Linked DNA regions of Astyanax mexicanus. The protein of the gene in region 2 binds, or shares a complex with, the protein of the main gene of each other region. Links are inferred from orthologs where the notes say so. Each region holds a gene or a part of one and is shown on either strand. Other genes may lie near its edges.

Region 1 (7,427 bases), on a different chromosome or scaffold from region 2:
GCACAACACGATGGAATATGGTCCCATTGTAGTAACCTGACAAAGAAGAAAATTTATAACATGTACATTACTAACATAGTATTTGTTTCACTGCCCACTGTCCCACAGGCACTGGCTAGAGTGCAAGAAAGTCCTCCAGGACATTTAGACTCCGGCTGTTGATCACAAAGCAGCATTATCTGTGACTTGAGCATCTTAGTCTGCAGAGCCAGTGAAAGTTGGATTGACGTTTAACAACCAAACCTTGCATTTATTAAATTGGGGAAGCTATTTTTTAAATTGAGAATGAAGTGTACTACTACAGACACATTTAAACATAAAGGAATGTCAAAGAGGTAAAAAGACTAAATATGCTAGACTTACCTTCCATGCACAGCTGAGTGAAGTTTCTGCAGGCTTTGGGAGCTTCTTTTGACCACAGCTCCACATCAATATCACCTGCAGAGGTCTTAATTAAAACCTTTAAGAAAAATAAAATGGAGACAGTTTTAAAAATTGTCTCAGATTGCTAATCTCCCCTGATAGCAAAGAACATTGAAGAAACGTTACTTTTTTTTGGTTGCATAAAATGGCTGAGCGATAGGAGGCTCTTAAGGTATCAGGATCAGATTTCTAGCATTGTTGAACAGGTCTCAAAGCCTGGAGCTGGATAAGTTTAAACTGGCAACACAAATTGATTTAAGTAATTAATGACAAAACTTGTGATTATCATAAACTAAATGGACATTACCTCAATAATATTTAATTGTTGTAAAATCTATTGTGTTCTATTATGTGAATATGTGTTCACATATATTACATAACTTAACAGTGAACAGTATTTTACCTAGTCATGCTAAATGACCAATGTTTTAAAAATTGAGACTCCACACAGTACAAACATTGTTGACTGCAGTAACTTAGGTAAAAACAAAGTATAGCTATACATCCTGAACTATGATTAATTACAAATTTTGTCTTTAAAAATATGGAAACGCTTTGTTATGCTATTCTATTATCATTATGTCAGTTTAAATGGCCTGTGATGTGATTAGGACATTCATAGTTGAAATTATGTTGGGGTTTTTTTAAATAATGTTTTGTAATATCGTCAAAAAATATAGCAAAAACACCCTGAGCACCCTATCGTGATATTATTTTAGGGCCATATCGCCAAGCCTTAATGCTGAATATTTATGTTTTGCTAGCTAACTTAACCCAGTAACTAACTAGAGTTACAGTACAGTGCAGTTTTTTGAGACAGTCAGTGAGTCAGAAACACACACTAAAGGGCGGTGTTTGGGAAATAACCTTGTTTGTTCGTCATATTATTTATTTTTTATATTTAAAGAAACAAAACTCAGTGAACTAAGGCTAGGTTAGGTTAGTTAGCTCCCTGGCTACGCACCTTGCCACTAGTCGGAGGCTCCTGGATGTATATGTTGCTCATGTTTGAAGCAGTATTAGTAGGACGCCAGCTACCGTACTGAAAAAAAAAACGATAATAAACGGCAAAAAACTCGCATAAACATAAAATATCACTCTAATAAATCCTGTACACCGCCGCCAGCTTAGACTTCTCCTTCTTTAACATCCTGACTGGGGGAAAAACACTGCTAACCGCACTGCTGCCACCTAAAGCTAGCGAACCAACCTACAGTTCAGAGGCCCAAGATAGTTATGCCAGAGAATCTCTATAATAGAAAGGTTTGTTTAACCACCAGAGGGCGCACCCAAGTGAGTTTACTGTAGAAAATATAAAATATACAGGTGAGTTCTATATATTTTATTAGCAAAATACACTATTCCGACTTCCAAAATTAAAGGAATGTACCGGAGATGTATATATATATATATATATATATATATATATATATATATATATATATATATATATATATAAAATTACCTTACTATTTTTATTTTGAGTTGTAGCGGTTTAGCTCCATTCACCCCCATTTATTTTGATCTCACTCGCGGGTGCCCTCTAGCGATTCACAGTCATTTTCTGATAGAAATTATAGGAAGTGGGTAGGCTCTCCAACAAATCTTTTAATATTAAAAACGAACAAAATATCACATTTTAAAACCATTGTTATCATTACACATCAAAGACTGGTCAAGAATACCATCATAACCACCTCCTTGTTTCTACATACATTACCCACGGGACACAACAACTGGTAGACTTATTTCAGTCCAGCAGTGACATTGAGAAGTTTAAAAATAAGGGTTCATTTATAACCTGATTTACGTTAACTGATTAAGACTACTTTAAATGCTACTTAAAAGCTAATTGAAACACTACTGTGTTTTTAAAAGAGCCTGACCTTGAGGGACTGACACAGTTAGTGTTTTTGTGTGCCTGTCTTCAACTCCTCACTTATGTATTAGGGATTCACTTAAACTGAGAGTACACTAATGTGGTGCATATCTGAATAAACAAAAGTGTGTATGTGCTTGTTTAGACCTCTGGTGGCAAACTACAAAACGCTAACAACCATACAAACCTTACATGTGGGTCATTATAGGGAGAAAAATATAATGAGTATAATGCTGGGTCAGGCTTTTTACCATAATATTCGCCTCCTATTAGGATGCACATCTTCCACTTTCTCTTATATAATAAGCTCAAATGCCTGGAGCACAGAGTTAGAATACTTAATCTAACATGTTAATAATAGTTTAAATATAGTTGCTGACTAAAGGCAATCTGTACTATACGTGCATTATTATACATATATCAGGCATTATTATTGCCTATTGCAGTGCTAACTGAACCTAATGCACTGATAACAGACTAATACAAGTAAAATGTATGACATTATCAGGTAAATTGATAACATAGATAACAGCCTAATGTCAGTATCAGAGCCAAAGGGAATATTGAATAAACGCCTGTGTGTAAGTTCCCCGGCTTTCAGCGGGTGGCGGTAATGCTCACCGTAAGCTACTAGAGGAAGAAGAAGGAGAAGAGCCTGGTGTGTGTTGTTGTGTTTTGAGGACGAGCTGCATTTTTTTCACATTAAAATCTCTATACTCAGCTGAAATGGCTGTTCCAGGTATGTAAAACTAGCTACAGATCTGACTAGCTTAGATTAGCTGGTTTACCCCGTTTGTTCCTGTTTTGGCGGGAAGCGCGCGCCCGGAACATTCTGGAACAGTACTAGGTTAGCTTAGCTTAGCTTAGCTTAGCTAGGCTTACAGTAGCAGCTCCTATACAAAACTATATGTAGCTAAGATAACTATTAACTAACTAACTAGCTGAGCTAAGCTAGTTAACCTAACTACTGATGCTAGTTAGCGCACTAGTTTTGATCATATTTATTAAATACATATATGAATGTTGCACGGTGTCATTTAAACGTTGCCTTGTTAAAAAATCCCTTTTAGTTAAATAGCTAGGTTATCTTAAATAGCTTTTGTTCTCACAGCAACTATGTAAAGCTAGGTTAGCTAGATAACTAGCCAGCTCACTAGTTAGTTAACGTTACCATATTCAGCAAAAAAAACGTTAAATAAACGTTCACTATTTCATCGCTAGTGCGTATATACAGCTCTGGAGAGACCACTTCCGTTTCTGAATCAGTTTCTCTGATTTTGCTATTTATAGGTATATGTTTGAGCAAAATTATTCTATAAACTACAGACAACATTGCTTCCAAATAAAATGCAAAGAAATTATTAAATAATGCAAAGAAAACAAGTTTATATTCATAAAGTTTTAAGAGTTCAGAAATCAATATTTGGTGGAATAACACTGGTTTTTAATCACATTTTTCATGCACAGTCTTACACACTGCTTTTGTTTAACTTAATGCCACTCCTGCTGCAAAAAAGTCAAGCAGTTTCGCAGTTGGGGTTGGATCAGTTTCGCTTGGTTTGATGGCTTGCGATCATCCATCTTGCGTTTTCAATTTGGTAAAATTAAAGAAACTCATCATTTTTAAGTGGTCTTTCTCCAGAGCTGTACATATACTAGTGCATCAAAATAAAAATTTCAATGAAAAGTTACTATATTTCTGTAATTTAGTTCAAAATTTAAAGCTCATATATAATATAGATGTATTGATGATTATGGCTTGCATCCAATGAAAACCCCAACAGTCAATATCTTAGAAAATTAAAATATTATAAAAGACCAATTGGTACTTTTGGCAATGTGGGCAGTGTGCCAAGTCCTGCTGGATAATGAAATCTGCATCTCCATAAAAGTTATGAGCAGAGGGAAGCATGAAGTGCTGTAAGATTTTCTGGGAAAACACTGCACTGACTTTGGACTTGGATAATAAAACACAGTGGACCAACACCAGCAGATGACATGACTCTCCAAACCATCACTGATCATCAGTAAATTTTGCATTTCATTTTGGAAAACAAGGGACCAGAGTCTGGAGGAAGAGTGAAGAGACACACAGTCTTGAGATCTACTGTGACATTTCCACAATCAGTAATGGTTTGGAGAGGCATGTCATCTGCTGGTGTTGGTCTACTGTCAAACAAGTTATAAAGTCCAAAGATATTCTGGACAATTAAACAATTGTGGTGTATTAAAACTTTTGACTAGTACTGCATATCTTTACTAATGGGTTTATAATTGTTTTTTAAACAGGTGTTAATAAGGATAATATTCGAGCTGGATGTAAAAGATGTGGCTATCGTAAGTATTGAGAATGATCCGTTTGGATCATATTTACTTTGTATTCAGCTTTTAATTAGCATTATTACTGTAATTCTTTATTGTTGCAAAACAAATGATTTCCTTACTTTGCCAGCGGGTCACCTGACGTTCGAGTGTCGTAACTTTGTGCGAGTGGACCCCAGGAAGGACATCGTTTTGGACGTTAGCAGCACAAGCACTGAAGAGAGCGAGGAAGAAGAGCAGGCGGCTGTCAGCAAGGAGAAGATCTTTGGGAGCAATTCTAAAGGTTTGGGCATTATTTGATAATTAGTTTGATCTGCTTAACTATAACTTTTTTCTAGATTTGCAATCACTGATGGCTATAGTGTTAATTATTTCTGGACTCTAAAATGGAAAGTGTAGAAAATGACAGGAATGCTGATAATCAGAGTTTGATATTTGCTTCCTCTGCAGGTTCTCAGGAGGACTCAAAAAAGGAAAAGCACAAAAAGAAAAGTAAAGAAAGATCCCACCGTAAAGCAAAAAAGAGGTACAATCTGCAAAACTTCCAAACACACATTTTTTATTATTTAAATGCATATCTGGAGAAGTATGCCATTTTATATTACTGATACAGCTGTTACAGTATTGTATACAGCATAAAGTGTTGACTGATATTATTATATTACTGATAATAACATACTGATGTTAACAGAAAAATGTTGCATATTGTTGCTGTAAAATACATTTATAGAAGGTTAAATTCAATGTGTTGTAAGCAAAGCTGAAACTGTAATTTGTATTTATAATAGTAACAATAGGAAATATGAAAATATCATAGATTGTGTTTTTATATCAATAAACATTTATTTTAAAGTGCAAATAAAGTAAAGCAAAAATATAAAGTGGTACCATTTTAAATGTGGAAAAAAAAATAACTGGACTGGATGCCACATATTTTTCTTTTTTTTTTTATCCTCTCAGAGGTTAATGGACAGTTAATGGATAACCATTTACCTTAAGTGGTCAGTTAGGGTGCATCTCTGAAGCTGACCTTGAGTTGCTGAGATGTTTTTAAAGAAATTATTTTAGGACTAGTTTTGAAATTTGTGGGATTTGATTTGATCTCATTAAATTTTTACTTCATTTAATAAAAGCAATGTGTATATAACTATATAATTATAATATACAATTCACATTAGGTATACATTCTCAGTGTCAATAGGGGCTTTAATTGTGAATTGTGGAAGATATTTTAGCTGTACATACTCTAATAAGTAAAATTCACTGCAAAATATTTACACTGTTGTGCCAAAAAAAATGAGAGAGCAGTATGTAAACTACCATAACATATTCTTAACATTCTTAAAATCAGTAAATATATATATTTCTATTATTACAAGTAAAATTATACATTTTTATAAGTAATTTGCTGACATGACCCTGTCGCACAAGAATCGTTTATCTGAAATTATAAAAATGTTTAAAAATATATAAAAAGAACATTTTTAATAATATATTTTGCCTTAAATAAAAAATAACAATAGAAAGTTTTTTTGTCATTTATGTTTTATTAATTTCTTATTACTTTGATTCAGGTCTTATTCATCTAGTGATGATGATGATGAGGAGGAGGAGGAAGAGGAGAGCAAAAAAAAGAAAAAGCACAAGAGCCATAAGAAGAAAGGCAAAAAGGAAAAAAAAGAGAAAGAGAAAAGACGTATGAAAAAGAGCAAGAAGAAACTTAAACAGACCTCCTCATCCAGCAGCTCCAGCGGATCTTCAGACACAGACTGAGATGTTAATGTTGTTATTTTTGATGTCGGCTCACCAGGACCAGCATTTCTTATGAACGTAAAGGCTCAGACATTTGCGGCAGATTTTAATTAAAATAATTATGATCTGAAATACCCAAAGACTAGGGGAGTTTCAGAGCCGTGTATAGATATGTTACTGTTTAAGCAGTGAATCTTTCTCCTGACATTGGTAGCTATGTTCTCTTATGGAGGTTTATTGTGCTGGTGGAAAGGTAACCTTTCTTAGTGTATTTTTGATGCAATTATGATTTTGTACAGAAAGTAAATAAAAACATGTGGCTGTTACTTTTCTATAATGTGAACTTATGTTTGTTTATTCTTATAAGTGTAGAATCATATTTATAAGTGCTCATTTGGCAGTGGTCTATTTTTATATAAATTATTGGTTACACTGTCTCCACTGTTTCCATTGGAAGTGCTACATTCAGACTGTATCCGTAAACTTTTATATAATGTGCACAAATACAGATTAAATTAATGCAATATATGGACAATAGGCTCCATCCATATCCACATCCACATTTAACATTGAGCGAAAATGAGCATAAATACAGATGGAGGCTTTTATCTGTACTGTGCTTTAATTTTATCGTTTTTTTTACATGTTCTCTAAAAGCTTACAGACACAGAATAAAAGCTATGTTACCTAATCAAGAGTTTATTAAGTCTTTTAAGAGTTTATTAAGAGTTTAAGTCTGCAATTTCCAGTTTGCCTCTTCTATTTTTTTGTGGAAAACACAATCATTACCTCAGATATTTTTTACTGCCTTCTAGGTTATTTATAATTGGCTAAGCATTAATGCCTACCTTTATTTAAATTAACAACTTACTTTTTAAGAGAAATAAGAATATGAACAAGTAAATTCACCAAAACCCACAAATCCTCAGTCAAAATGGTAAATTTACCAAAAAAAAAACCCTTACCATTCAATGGAAGTCAATGCAATTTTATTAAGTGCAAGTAATCTGAAGACTTCAGCATGTTAAAGTATTTTGAGTGCAGACTACTC
Region 2 (8,001 bases):
AATCTTGCAAACTGTGATCTGTTGCACACTTAATTTTCATCTTATGTTTGTGCATTCCTGTGTCTCTAAAAAAAACTCACTCACCGATTGCTGGGTATCCCAGGTTGTCCAATGGATCAGAGGAGTTAAGAGGTTTTCCCCGGACTTCTTTCAGCACGGGCATGTGTAACACTGGTCCATACTCAGCTCTTAGCTTAGCAGCCATCTTTATCTTGTGACTGAGGAAACAAGTTCACAGGTCCATAATTAATACATTGAAAATACACTGAAAAAAATTCTATATAAACATTTGTAAACTCATTAATGTGCAAATACAGCTATTCTAAAAGACATATACTTGGAAAGACATAGACCGCGATCGTGTCAAATTATTGGCGTGCATCAAGCAGGGAAAACATCCTAGGCTACGTTCACATTATAAGCCATGTTGCTTAAATCAGATTTTTTTTTGCTCAGATCAGATTTGTTTATCCTGATGGTTCACATTCACTGTAAATGTAAGTGATCTGTATCTGTGTGTAATGTGAACAAATCTGTACCAGAAACGCCTCACATGCTGCACACTGATACCTGTATAAATGCCTCCTTCTTCACCAACAACAAAAAAACCCTCATATTAGAGAGACAAGAAACTAGTAGCTTTATAAAGGGAAATGGATGAGTTAGCAGATCATATGTGGAGCATCTTTAACTGGAGAGTGGAGAGAAACAGCTGGTCTGAAGTTCATGCTCAGGTCCAGGAGGAGAAAAAAGGCCAGGAGGTTTGCTTTTGCTGATTTTGCAGCTATAGCTGCACAGCTGCACCAAGAGATGCAGTGTGGGTACGAGAGAGAAGCATGTAGGGCTAATGCTAATACTAATGCGTAAAAGCAAAAAGACGCATAAATTCAGATTTGACCGTTATGAAAGTGACTCAAATCTAATTTAAAAAAAGGCTGATTTGGCACGTTCACACAGCCATAAAAAAAAAAAAATCATTTTTCATCTAAAAATGCTTCAGTTTGCTAGAGAGAGTAAATATCAGACTCTGGATTTCTTCTAGTTCTTCTAACCCTGATGCTCCATCACTCCAGAACAGTGCAAATCTGGACTCATCAGACCTTCACATGACCTTATTCCATAGATCCAATGACCACGCTCATCTTTCAGGTTTTTAAAGCCAGAGACTCACCTCTCCTCGTCCAGGGACACTGGTTTAGCGTGATCAGACACGAACATGTCATGGGTTCTCTTCAGAGATCTAAAGAGCAGAGTGTGGACCGAGTGCTTCTGCACCTCCTGCAGACACAACAGACACAAAACTGATTCAAATAAGGCAGATGCTATATAACAGGCAGAGTATATAACTCAAGAAAAAATACTGAATGAATCAATGTTTTGATGATGGGCGACTGACATGAAATTTCAAGCAGATTTTGGAAACAATCCAAGTAATCCACACATACAAAAATATCCAATCAGATAAGTCCATAAATTAAGTTACTTGTAATAAAGTAGAATGAGAGCCATTTTAAACCCTTTAACATATTTATCTAGAATGTAGTTGTTGCAGAGTCTCATTGTTGAGTAAGAGTGACAAATCCTGAGTATTCTGATTGGCCTCTCCTCATGCTTATTTATCCAATGCGGTTTCAGTATGGGTGGGACTTGCAAAGCATGAGAGAGAGCAGGAGAGAGACAAGTATACAGTGTAATAGCAGCTCTGTCTCCATTAAACACAACATTAAACACATTTAACTCCACAAAAAACTCTACAGTCTGTCTTTACTGGTTGTGTACAGTTTAAACACTGAGCTTTATATTACCCGTGGTTAATGTTAAATTACTGCAGAGAACTGCTGAGGAGAGTTTAAACAGGATTCACTCCTTCATTAACATGGATAAGTGTTAGAGACAGATAATGTCCTCTGTACACTACATTAAAATTAAGTCATATATTAGAGTAACTACAGACTTTAATAAAAAAGAAACCTTTATTTTCTGAGACAAAATCTTTTTGGGGAGGTATATCTTTGAAAAATAGTAAAAAAAAAATAATAATAATAAAAAAAATACATAAGTGACAAAGCTGGTCTTGGGGACTAAATGTTTAGCTGTTCTCACTAGAAGGAAGTACAGATGGAGGGCAGGACAAGAAATAATCGTGACTAATCAACTAATCAAACAAATAATCAGCAGATTACTCGACTACTAAAGTAGTCAGTAGTTGCAGCCCTAATCTCTAGCATTTTGTAAGCCTGTTGGGAGCATCAGCAAGTGCTGTATTTGGGAATGCTAAGGAAGAACAGAGGTGGGGTATTCTACAAAAGTTTATAATCATTATCATGTTTCACTACAACCCAAGTCCATTTCACACCAGATTAATCCTTTATTTACTCTACATTAACCCCCAGTGGCTGTGTCTCTTTTTAAATAGATAGATCTCCTCAGAAAATGAACAAAACTATACTGAACCTGTTTAAAGGGCCAACATCAGACACATATCTCAGTGAACAGAGAATAAAGGTAATTAGAGTAAGTTAGTGTTCTCTAGTTATAAAGCGAATGTAATGCTGGTGTTAAGCTTAAAAAACAGGAACGTTAGTTAGTTGAGTTATTAATGTGAATATTAATACACTAATAACGGGATCTGTTGGTTATTTAAGTGTGATTATGTAACAGATTACTGTATAACCGGTATAATAATCAGTGTTTTATTAAAGAGGTGAGAGTAAAGCAGGGTGTAGTGAATAGAGAGGAGAGTATTGTGGTCTGTATTATAATAATTATATATAATAATAAGTGTTTTATTAAAGAGGTGAGAGTAGAACTGGGTGTAGTGAATAGAGAGGAGAGTATTATGGTCTGTCCCGTGAATAATAATAATACCGCCTTACCTCCGCCATGCTGCTGCTTTTGCTGCTCTGGGTCAGTAGTTCTGAATTAAAGCTGAATCCGGATCAGAATTCGATTTAAACTCCCTGTATAAAACTAAACACACCGCGCTAAACACTCACACACACTCTCACACACACACCGGAAACACGGCGGCGGAAACTCCGGCCTGCAGCGCGGAGAGAGAGGCGGTATAAACTCAGTGCTGCCCCCTACTGTAACCTCCAGCTCTGTATAAAAATAAGAGACCACTCAAAAATTATTATTTTTTTTATTTTACCAAATTGAAAACCTGTGGAAAATAATCAAGAGGAAGATGGATGATCACAAGCCATTAAACCAAGCTGAACTGGTTGGATTGTGCAACAAGATGACAAAGTTATCCAAAAGCAGTGTGTAAGACTGGTGGAAGAGAACATGATGCCAAGATGCATGAAAACTGTGATTAAAAACAGGGTTATTCTACCAAATATTGATTTCTGCATTCTTAAAATGTATGAATACGAACTTGTTTTCTTTGCATTATTTAAAATTATTTGAAGCTCCGCATCTTTTTTGTTATTTCAGGCATTTCTCATTTTCTGCAAATAAATGCTCTAAATTACAATATTTTTATTTGGAATTTGGGAGACGTGTTGTCCGTAGTTTATAGAATAAAACAACAATGTTCATTTTACTCAAACATAAACCTATAAATAGCTAACTTAGAGAAACTGATTCATAAACTAAAGTGGTGTCTTCATTTTTCCCAGAGCTGTATATAATAAAACTTAAAAATAACCAATTCTGTTCAATCTTTTGTGTCCTGTATATGTATATAATACACCCTGGTTCAATCCTGAACCTGACTCAAAAATCCAGAAGATTTTTTTTGTGTCATGTACATGCAGATAATAAATTCAGGTTCATAAGTGAAACTGAATTGGTTCGAATGATTCTTTGAAAAGAACCGATTCAAAAATCCGGCTGAAATGTTTGTGTCCTGCATATACAGTCTATGGTGTCCTGTGAACCTGATTCGGTTCGAATGATTCTAAGAAAAGAACCGATTCCGGTATAGGAATGAAGGCAGTTGGCGGGAAATGTGGAGCAGGTTGAGAACTGAATCAGAGGAGCTTCAGTCAGAGGAGTGATTTAAAAATGGTAGGACTTTAATACTGTGTTTAATATCTACTTTAATAGATTTACAGTAATAAAACATTTTACTGGAGGTGAAAATGAGCGGATTGTGTGATATTAAACACAGTTTTAGGTAGTTTTAGGTGCGTGGTTTGTTTGGGTTTGTTTTTAGCTTTAGCTAAATCAACAGCGTTAATTAACAGTCTAAGAGAAAACCATAGGCCTCACATCGCTTTAGTATAAATAACGATCTATATTAAAGTTTAAAAACTTTATTAATCTGCTGGATTTGTAGTCAGAGTTCTCTTAAATACAGCCGCTGTTGGTGTAACGTTAGTTTATTAGTTACTGCAGGTTGTGGTGTTTTGTCTTAGTCTTTTAGTTTAAACAGATAAAATCAGTGAAAGGTGAGTTTGTTTTTATGTGTTTTACTGTGTTTATAACGTGATTTAAAATATATAAATCGTATAAAATGTTATTTTACTCCACCGGTTTAAAGGCTGGAGTGTCTGTACGTGGTAATCAGTTCCCGTAGTGTAGTGGTTATCACGTTCGCCTAACACGCGAAAGGTCCTCGGTTCGAAACCGGGCGGGAACACGGTCTTCATTTTTCATTAAAATTAATTAAATAACTTAATCATTTTATATCAGAGATAGTAGAGTACAGCAAACAGTAAAACAATAATCACAATAATACTGTTTTTATTTCTTTCTTTATTTCAAAATAAAGGCTTAGTATCTCAAAATAAAGAATTTGTACCTCAAAATAAAGACTTGGTACCTCAAAATAAAGACTTGGTATCTCAAAATAAAGACTTAGTATCTCAAAATAAAGACTTGGTATCTCAAAATAAAGACTTAGTATCTGAAAATAAAGACTTGGTATCTCAAAATAAAGACTTAGTATCTCAAAATAAAGACTTGGTACCTCAAAATAAAGAATTTGTACCTCAAAATAAAGACTTAGTATCTCAAAATAAAGACTTAGTATCTCAAAATAAAGACTTAGTATCTCAAAATAAAGATTTAGTATCGCTGAATAATTACTTAGTATCTCAAAATAAAGATTTACTATCTTAAAATAAAGATTTACTATCTTAAAATAAAGATTTAATATCTCAAAATAAAGACTTAGTATCTCAAAATATCAAGATAGCATGTCAAAATTACACAGTATCTTGAAATAAGTAAGTTGTTTTTTTGACATACAAAGTCATTATTTTGAAAGGCTATTTCGTTATAAATTTCATTATTATTAGTCCCTTAAAAATGGGAAGCATCTCAAAATAGTGAGATAGTATCTCAAAGTAATAACTTAGTATCTTAAAATAATAAAAGAGCAGTTTACACATCAATAAGGAGAAAATATTCACGTAATTGCCTAAAACCATATAAAAGCCTAAAACAATATATCATAAAAGAAATCATTACTGGAAGAAAATACTGGCTGAAGCTTCTGGGTGATTTTTATTTTTAAGTCTTTTTGAAATTTTATTTTGGCCACAATGTAAATAATAAAAATTATTAGTGTTTGTTGATTTTAAGATTGCGTTGTCATCTGCCTAATAATGTCAGTTTTTACTAAAATTTTACTCTCTGAAACAGTCGAAGAAGAAAGGACTCAGTTTGGAAGAGAAGAGGTCTCGTATGATGGAGATATTTTTTGAAACAGTAAGTAAATTAATTTAGTTTTTTTAAGTAAACTGTCAGTTAAATTTACAGTGTTTCTGATGTATTCTCTTTAAAAAATAACTAAATTATTGGAGATTTTTAATTCCAGCTTTAGTTAGGACTCATACTGTAATTCTACAGCTCTGGGAGGCAGACAGAAGCCCCCAACTGGTTTCCACTGCAGTGACTGTCTGATTAAAACTGTATTATTATTTTTTCAGAAGGATGTTTTTCAACTGAAGGACATTGAAAAAATTGCTCCCAAATCCAAAGGAATCAGTAAGTAGTGTCATTTATGATAATTAAATGTTTTTTACATTATTTAAAATGTTCTGCATTGTAGATTAAAGCTCCACTAGGTAGGATTGAGATTTTGTGATCGTGGGCTCCCCCTACAGTTGCAGAGTGTAATAAATGTTTCAGGCGGATTAGTTTCTCTTTCTTGTTTTCTGGCTTTTACAGACATATTGGGTCTCTTTCCAGCTTCTGCCAGAGTGTCTGTATGTTAGTTTGTAAAGAATGAACCAGTAGTCCTTGTAGAACTGTTAGAACTAAAGGTCGGAAAGCAGGTCGCAGTTCTTGCGAGCGTTGTTCGCGGTCGCCTCAGAAAATTTACAGTCTGGTTTGAGCTCAGAGGCGCTTCGGCACAGACACGAGAGCACCGTTATTCCTCCTATTACACCTCAATGCAGCGCTGCAGTGAGTTTCACACTGTAATTTTACTTCTTTAAAAAGATAAAAAATCAAGAAAATCCTACTTAGTGCTGCTTTAATACTAAACTCATCCAAACTATAAAAAAACATATGGAATTATTTAGTATTTATTTTTAAAGTAGCTCCTCCTGTTGTTTAGATTACCAGTTTTGCACTCTGCTGCATTTTCTCAGTCAGTTTTATGAGGTAGTACTCTAATACATATTATGAGAAGCAACAACTACTCAACTAAATAAAGAAAAAGATACTTTAAGAAAAAATGAAGGTCAGTCAATCCGAAAAGAAGAATTTTATTAACTTTGAAAGTATACTCAGGCGCAGTCGCCACAAAAACCATCAAAAACATTATACTGATGAAACTGGCACTCATCAGGAGTTTCCTCTGTTATAGAGGATAAATTAATCAGAGTTACCAGCATCATAAACCACAAGTTAACAAACAGCTCCCCAGATAAGAGCATCTAAATACTTCACATTTTGGTTTATTTAACTTTATTTTTAAGTTACTACATGATTCCTTATGTGTTCCTTCGTAGTCTGATTACCGTATTTTTCGGACTATAAGGCGCACTTAAAAACTTTTAATTTTCACAAAAATTGACAGTGCGTCTTATAATACGGTGCGCCTTTTGTATGGATTTTACTCGTCAGGTTGTAAGGAGCAGTAAACACACACTCCGTGCAGCATTATAGAGAGTTTCAGTGCTATACAGAGTCCAGAGCCGTGCAGCTCCGAGGCTGAGCAGCAATAGCATTAGCTAGATGCTAACCGCTAAGCTAGCTAGCTTATTCACTGAGATCAGTATTATCTAAATTTTACTCGTCAGGTTGTAAGGAGCAGTAAACACACACTCCGTGCAGCGTTATACAGAGTTTCAGTGCTATACAGAGTCCAGAGCCGTGCAGCTCCGAGGCTGGAGCAGCAAATAGCATTAGCTAGCTTATTCACTGTTCAGAGATCAGTATTATCTAAATTTTACCCGTCAGGTGTAAGGAGCAGTAAACACACACTCCGTGCAGAGCCGTGCCGCTCTGAGGCCGGAGCAGCAATAGCATTAGCTAGATGCTAACCGCTTAGCTAGCTAGCTTTTTCACTGTTCAGAGATCAGTATTTTCTAAATTTAGCACTTTTAATACTGCTGGAGCAGTATTATTAGAGTTAGATGCTAATCGCTAAGCGTTCACCGTTCAAAGGTGAGTTATCGGCCTGTAAGTCTGTGCTGCTTTGCCTGGCTAGCATTAGCTAGATGCTAAGCGCTAACTCTCTCAGAGGTGAGTTTTATCAGCCTGTAATCTGCTTGTTTACCGTGTTAAAACAAGCTACGGGGGACGAATCGCTAGCTAATATCTCACTGTCTTACCAGAACACGCAGGATTACTCAGTGTAACGCTGTCGTTTAAGTTTGGGTTAACTTTACTAGTTTAGGTGACTAGCTAGCGTGCTAGCGGATAGCTATGCTAACACTGGTGCAGCAAGCCTTAGTGGACATCTGGAAATCTAAGCTTACTGTAAATAAACTGAAGCACGTTACTCACCCAAATAAACAGTTTTCAGGAGAGGAATCTGTGTAGATTAATATCCAGCACTCGTTTGACTTTGAAAGAGCTAACAGTTAGATTTGT
Region 3 (6,948 bases), on a different chromosome or scaffold from region 2:
CACTCCATGGAGGCACAGGTGCTAATTGGTGCACAAACACAGCCCATATAATCCCCAGAGAAAAGCACTGCAGCACAACACTGTGTATTAATTATAGTTTACAGTTTATTAAACACTATATAAACAAACAGTGTTTTAATAAACATATATGTGCACTTTTAAAGCTCTCATTGCCTCATTTTAAATGTAGAGCCCTCAGAATTCTATCAGTGAAGTGTGGAGCTACTTTGATCTTGGTTAAGGTTGTAAATAGTGATTTTTTTTTTTTGCACAGGCAGATGCTATGCCCCTATTCCTAGCATTGTGACCCTGGTGGGAGCATCTGCAAAAAGTGCTTTATTTCTCAATGCTGGGGATGATTGGAGGAAACCTATTTCATGCCAGATTCCTCATTAAATTTGCTTGAAATTTTATTTAGAATTAGAAATATCTGCTACATTTGAAATAAAAATAAAATATTTAAATAAAAATACAGAACAGAGATGGTATAAATTAGAAGATCAGAAACTGGATAAAATAAAAAAAAAAAGAGTTCATGCAACTACCAATATGGCATCTGTTTACAGATAAAGTCCCGCCCATCATTTTACTGGTTGGTGAAAAAGCTACCAAACATAAAAAAAAAAAAAAAAAAAAGCTATAAAACATTTTTTTGTGCATTATTATACCAAACGCTAGAAACTATTAATGAGATTTCTCTAATGCAATTTTTAATATATATTTATTTTTACCATTAAGTTGAGTATTTTAGTCTCTCCCCACTTATCCAGATCCAGTACCATTTTAAAGAAGATGGCCACCAAGTTAAACAGACTTTTCTATTAAAGATCATTTGTTCACACACACCAACAGTTACTTACCGAACCTTCTGCAGTTCCTTTTGTGCATTTTCAATCATGAAAGCCAAATTACTGTTAAACAGAAATAAGAGATGCAAATAAACATACAGTTTTACTTTATAAAAAAAAAACACAATAATTAAAACTAAAAGTCAAAAGCTACTACAGTTTAATACGTACTCATTAGAAAACTTCCAGGCGTTGGTTCCGTACTCGGCCATCAGATCAAGGTTTTCTATTCGCACGGCCTGATGCTCCAGCTGGGCCATCGAGTTATTCACACAATCCTGCCACGCTGTGATGTCATTCTTCTGTCCGGATGAGGGGGCTGGAAGCTCGTATCTGAAGTTACGTACATTAGGAGGCAGTGAGCCACAAAACTCAATAATAGCTGTGTTTCTGTTTTCATTTCTGCCTTTGCAGCGCCCCCTCAGGTTCAACTGTGCTACAGGCGAGAATTCCTCCTGCCCCACACCCCTAAACCCATACATCACCCAGTCCCTCTTTCGCAAACTACTCCTCCCTTTTTTTAAAAAGCCTTTTTATTAAATTTGAGAAGCAAAAGTTCACATACTTTTACCACTTACAAATAAGTATTAGTGAATAGTTTTTCTCAATAAAGATAAGAGAAAGTACTTTTTTCAGCTGTTTTTTGTATCAACTGAAGTTAAGAATTATTTTATAATAAATCTTTGGCACATTATCCAGCCCTATTTCAAAAATACCAATATATTTCACACAATATACTAAACCCACTGGTCTTTGTATCTGTTATTCAGGATCTCCTACCTCTTCATGCTGAGCAGCTCCATAGGTTGGCGAGCACCAAGCCTCTCAAACTCGTTCCTCATTATCTCAGTCTTTGGGTGCAGGAAAAAAAAAAATAAATAAAAATAATAACACTACTGAACATCTTATATCAATCAATCGATCGATCAATCAATTATGGATAATATTACTGAACACACAACCAGGTGAGTCACAGCCAAACTAGAATCTGTGAATAGAAACAGGATCAGGATCTATTTACCTCAAACGCAGAGAAATCAGGTGTTGGCAGGTAACTCAGGTAATTCTTTGTAGGCCGGTATCGCCGGGTCTCCTCCTCCACCAAGGCTGCAGCCTGGAAACAGAACATGTTCATCAGTTATAGAAGGATATAGTGTTATTGACTGTACAGGCTGTTATAATTTTTAGTAAATTAATCACAATTGCTGTTTTATTAGTACTTGTTTTTACTTTATAGGGGTGCAAAACTAGCATTTAATCTGTTATTTATTGTGGAATAATATGCAGCCTCGTTGATCTGGCTGTGTTAAACTTGGTACTACAATTCCCAGCATGCACTCACTGGAAATCCAACATAGAAAAATAAAGAAATACATTGATATTCAATCTATGATTTAAATCTTGAAAAATACCGTGATATATGATATATGATCATACCGCCCACCACTACAGCGTATATACAGAGTATATAACCGGTGGTTTAGAGGCTGTAACTCGGCTTTAGGAAGCGCAGCTCAGGCCGGTGTTCTGTCGAATTGTGCAACCATATCAAATCCTGCTACCCAAGTGTATATTTAACAGAAAATCCGTATTAGAGCTTGTTTTCAGTAGAAATTCCAGTAGATGTAGATTTAGTATATTTGAATAGCATAAATCACTTTATTATAATAAAGTTAAGGCAATGGGAGGTTATTATAAACTGGCTACTGTATTTATTATTATTAATTTTCGTTTACACTTTTATGAAATGAGTCAGTTCGTGTTGTTTAAAACACAAAAGACACGACAAAAACAGATTTATTATAATAAAAAACAGGAAAATTTATAATAACTCTAGGTCAGCGCATGCGCACTGCCTTTGGAAAGCAGGTATCGGCGAGTAGCGTAACTGGACGCAACACCGGGCTGTTGTTTAGGAGGGAGAACACGCTGCGTCTCCTCTAAACTCACAGATCCGCAGCCTGAATTAAACTAAACTAAACAGCCCCGGGTCTCCGTTACCGCCCCGCCCGGTACTCACCGCCTCCCGGACTCCCGGAGCGTCATAACCCTGATCAAAATACGGCAGCGCGTCCACGAACACCTCACCGGCTACCGACGAGGTTCCAGCCATGTTTCTCCCGCAGCGGCTCCAGCAGCAGCAGCGCGCAGCCGCCCGCCTGAGCCCTTCACCCCGCAGCGGAACCAGCGCCGCCCGCAGGCCTGGAGGAAAAACACCCATCCCAGCCAGAATATACCCTTCAACCTGAACCACAGAATCTCTTACAGAGAATTTCACTTAATATAAATGTTTTCTTTATTTTGGACAAGTTTTTATTCATACTTCTAAATTTACTAAAAAAAAAAATATTTTTTTACATGCTACTAGAATAAAATTCAACTGTATATCAAGTCCCAATTAATGAAATCTGAAAATGCGAAAAAAAAAAAAACTTTTTAAATTAAAAGAAAATTACCCCACTCATTTACATTATATTCAGGGTATTTAGCAGAAGCCCGTTTTTTACTTCAAAATATCCATAGCTAGTTTGTAGATATTAGAATCCAGAGATACACCAAGCTTTGATAATATTTATAATATTTAGACCCCCCATTGATGCTTTATTCTGTGAACTACAGACAACATTTATCCCAAATTCCATATAAAATATTGTCATTTAGAGCATTTATTTGCAGAAAATGATAAATGGCTGAAATACCAAAAAAGATTAAGAGCTTTCAGACCTCAAATAATGCAAAGAAAGTTCATATTTATAAAGTTTTAAGAGTTCAGAAATCAATATTTGGTGGAATAACCCTCGTTTTTAATCACAGTTTTTTTCATGCATCTTGACATCATGTTCTCCTCCTCCACCAGTCTTACACACTGCTTTTGGATAACTTTATGCTGCTTTACTCCTGGTGCAGAAATTCAAGCAGGTTTTCAATTTGGTAAAATCAAAGAAACGTATCATTTTTAAGTGCTCTCTTATTTTGTCAGTTTTATATTGTCTGTTTATTTTCAATAATTGTTTTATATAACAGTTCATTTATGATTAATTTTGTTCAGGAAAAAGAGAACAAAATATATAAATTTTGCCACCAGAGGGCGCTGACTGTACTTCCAGCATCATCATCTCACCAACCAATCAGCTCACAGTAGCAGTAATGCTCTTTGCTTTTTAAATACAATACTTTTCTACTGTCCTAAAATAAAGGAATATCCTGGAAAAGGGGTTAGTAACTATTTCTAATTTGAGTTTTTAGCCGTTTAGCTCCATTCACCCCCATATATTTGAGACTCTCTCGCGGGCTCCCTCTAGTGGTGTGCAGACAGGGAGTGGGCAGCCTCTCAGGTTTATGAGGATCCTGCCCTTATCATAAACTTTATACCAGGTTTTATATGAATAAACTTAAATTTTCAGGTAAAAAAACATATATTTTTTTGACTTTAAAAAAAGAGATGGAACACTATATTGAACTAACACCGCCCTTTTATAATCAATATATTCACCATTTTACAGTTATTTTACAATATTTTACTTATAAATGTTTACATATAATTAAGCACCATATATATACACAATTATAGTTTGTTTTAAAGCATTATTAACAGTACTGGATTCTTTAATATATTATTTCTTTCATATTATGTATCACCCATAGTTTATTTCTTCTTTTTAAAGGATTAATTGCTTATACATATTGCGTAGTTGTTTAGTTTTTTTAGTCAGCAGAATTACCAAGTCCATAAAGCTAGCTGGAAATTCTACAATTTGTGGCTTTAAAAATGTTAAATGCTAACGTTCTGTCTTTTCAATCAATATTTTTTAAATGTTAAATTAGAACTATTCTCTTAAACCATTGCTAAATTTTATACAGCAATAACAACAGCAATATGTTTTTGTGTTCCCTGAAAATCTGAGTTTAGGAAAGGTTTATTCACTACATAGGGAGCAAGTAATTGATTTGAGACACAGCCAGTGCTCGCGCATATGAAATGTTAATTACAATGCCTGAAGCCCTTACTTGCCAGTTTTGATTTGCCAGCTTTTCCAAAGCCTTTATCACACGTAAATCAGGCATTTACAGGAACTTCTGCATCAGCAAAAAGCTCCCACACACCAAATGACTAAATGATTACAGGAGGTTTTATATGAAAGCATTTAATTTGAAAAAGTCACAAAAGACAAAAAAAAAGCTCCTTGGTTATACAAAACACACATATAAAACTGTACAAAATGTCAAATATAAAAGCATTTTGAAATATGTCGTCGCAGACATTATACAACACAAACTTTTAGTTTGTTAAAAAGAAAAATAAGATAAAAGGATAATTAGAGACTTTTAAAAATCTATCGAGAAGCATAATCAGTGTGCCTCAGAGGAATTATAAATATACACAACTTCTGCAGGAGATGAGAAGCACCTCCTCATCTCAATCATTTATATTTATCTCTAAAAATAATACTTTCCAGTTTGGAAAGCAGTTGGGAGTAAAGAACGAGGAGTAAAATATAGAAAAAATGTAAAATAAAAATGTCCTGTTTTTTGAGAGTCACAGAAAAGACGAAGAAAGATCAGATCAGATCAGATCAGATCAGGGTTAGTGTGAAGAGAACTACTTCATTAGCTCACAGATCGACACAATCCGGCACAAACGACACGAATCCAAAGCTTTCTGCTTTACACAACAGTAACATGACACACACTCCTCCTCCTCCTCCCTTTCCTCCCGCTCTAATTCAGTCCTTCTTTGTTGCTTGTTTACAAAAGTCCATTTCCAGTTTTTCAACCGATTGAAATTGCACAGGCGCTCCCAGCAGGAGCGTTTTCAGGGCTCGACCTCTCGTCTCTCTCGTCTCTCCGCCCCTCTGATCGCTTCTTTTTCTCAGAGGAACGGGATCGCCGCAGCCTGATCGCTGAATCACAGCCTCCTGCGCCGGGTTTCGTCACTCGGCGCTCGACGCCGGCCTCCTTCTGCGTTAGGCAATCCCTCACTTCTTCTGCAAGAACTTCATTTTGTTCCCTAAAACACAGCAAACTGTCACACAGGGAGGAAAGAGGGGGAAATAATGCTTCCTTTTTTGGTGGAGGTGAAGACGCTATCTTACCGAGTCCCTTCAGGAATTTGTTGACTCCGCTGGGTTCGGGTTCGGGGCAGGAGGCGAGGTATTCTGCTGCTCTGACCTCAAACAGGCCTGTTAGAAACCCATAAACACATTAAACTAAAACACATTCAACTAAAAAAAAAAAAAAAAAAAGAACTCATGGAGACGTCTGACTCACAGACGTCTCCATGACCATATATATATATATATATATGTGCTGGGTTAGTAATGAAGATAAAACTAAACTAGCTCCTTAAGACCTTAAGAACACACCCAGGACCAATTCTTGGCTTGTTTGTGCTGCTTGCTGGTTTGTTTTCACACACAAGAACTTTTTTTCCCCAAACCCTGGATCACTCACTCACCCTTGACGCCCCCTTTGCGGAGTTCTCGGTCCTGGATGAAGCCAGCGAACATCTGTGTGTCCATGAAGAGCTGGAGGAACTGGCGGACCCTGCGGGACGGATGAGACTTCCTGAACGTGTCTCTGTTCAGCTCGCGGACGCCGCTGCTCGTCCCCGTCTCGCCAATGTGCAGAGAATAATGTCCCACCAGCTCCACGAAGAAACGCACAAACGCCTCCGACACCAGAGCACTCAGATCACACTCCACTGCAGGGAGAGAACAACAGGTTTAGGAAAAAACGGCAAAAAAAAATAATTTAAAACTAATTTAATCAATTTAAACTTTTTAAATTCAAAATTTATACAAATGTTAAAGACCTCAAGGGTTTTATAATGGAAAAAATCTCATTCTACACATAAAATAAAAATAAATAAATAAATAAATGGGAGAAAGAGGCAATTTATTATTTCAGAAGAGAAGAGGCTCAAAATATGTGATTTTCAACAAGTCCTATATATGCTGTGAATTTGGATAGAAAAGCTTGGTTCGTTTTTTTAATGACTCCACAACAAAAGATACATTTTACAGATCATTTTATTTGTCAACTAAGCTAATGATTATTAGTCAACGAATATTTCTGCCATGTCCTCCACCTCTAAAAACAA

The links.
Region 1: plrg1 (region 2) and cwc27 share a complex: the UniProt entries of both Homo sapiens proteins name them as parts of the minor spliceosome. The link is inferred for Astyanax mexicanus from reciprocal best matches to the Homo sapiens genes PLRG1 and CWC27.
Region 3: plrg1 (region 2) and bcas2 share a complex: the UniProt entries of both Homo sapiens proteins name them as parts of the PRP19-CDC5L splicing complex. The link is inferred for Astyanax mexicanus from reciprocal best matches to the Homo sapiens genes PLRG1 and BCAS2.

What each region holds. Positions count from the first base shown.
Region 1 is NC_064427.1:22,654,034-22,661,460, reverse strand, and holds the start of cwc27 (spliceosome-associated protein CWC27 homolog), read right to left. Parts: upstream 3,052-7,427; 5' UTR 3,042-3,051; coding exon of another isoform or gene 3,029-3,041; 5' UTR 2,924-3,028; exon of another isoform or gene 2,916-2,923; intron 1,625-2,915; exon of another isoform or gene 1,466-1,624; 5' UTR 1,430-1,465; coding exon 1,388-1,429; intron 461-1,387; coding exon 364-460; intron 37-363; coding exon 1-36. Other genes in the region: protein SREK1IP1, read left to right, coding at 3,029-3,041, 4,592-4,639, 4,755-4,907, 5,075-5,150, 6,199-6,397. UniProt on the Homo sapiens protein: As part of the spliceosome, plays a role in pre-mRNA splicing. Probable inactive PPIase with no peptidyl-prolyl cis-trans isomerase activity. As a component of the minor spliceosome, involved in the splicing of U12-type introns in pre-mRNAs.
Region 2 is NC_064432.1:13,738,378-13,746,378, forward strand, and holds the start of plrg1 (pleiotropic regulator 1), read right to left. Parts: upstream 3,041-8,001; 5' UTR 2,886-3,040; coding exon 2,877-2,885; intron 1,279-2,876; coding exon 1,172-1,278; intron 219-1,171; coding exon 85-218; intron 1-84. Other genes in the region: mnd1 (meiotic nuclear division protein 1 homolog), read left to right, coding at 4,015-4,017, 5,599-5,664, 5,886-5,943. UniProt on the Homo sapiens protein: Involved in pre-mRNA splicing as component of the spliceosome. Component of the PRP19-CDC5L complex that forms an integral part of the spliceosome and is required for activating pre-mRNA splicing.
Region 3 is NC_064419.1:2,129,628-2,136,575, reverse strand, and holds the start of bcas2 (pre-mRNA-splicing factor SPF27), read right to left. Parts: upstream 3,052-6,948; 5' UTR 2,962-3,051; coding exon 2,869-2,961; intron 1,963-2,868; coding exon 1,870-1,962; intron 1,700-1,869; coding exon 1,629-1,699; intron 1,182-1,628; coding exon 1,020-1,181; intron 912-1,019; coding exon 861-911; intron 1-860. Other genes in the region: dennd2c (DENN domain-containing protein 2C), read right to left, coding at 5,825-5,856, 5,942-6,028, 6,304-6,549. UniProt on the Homo sapiens protein: Required for pre-mRNA splicing as component of the activated spliceosome. Component of the PRP19-CDC5L complex that forms an integral part of the spliceosome and is required for activating pre-mRNA splicing.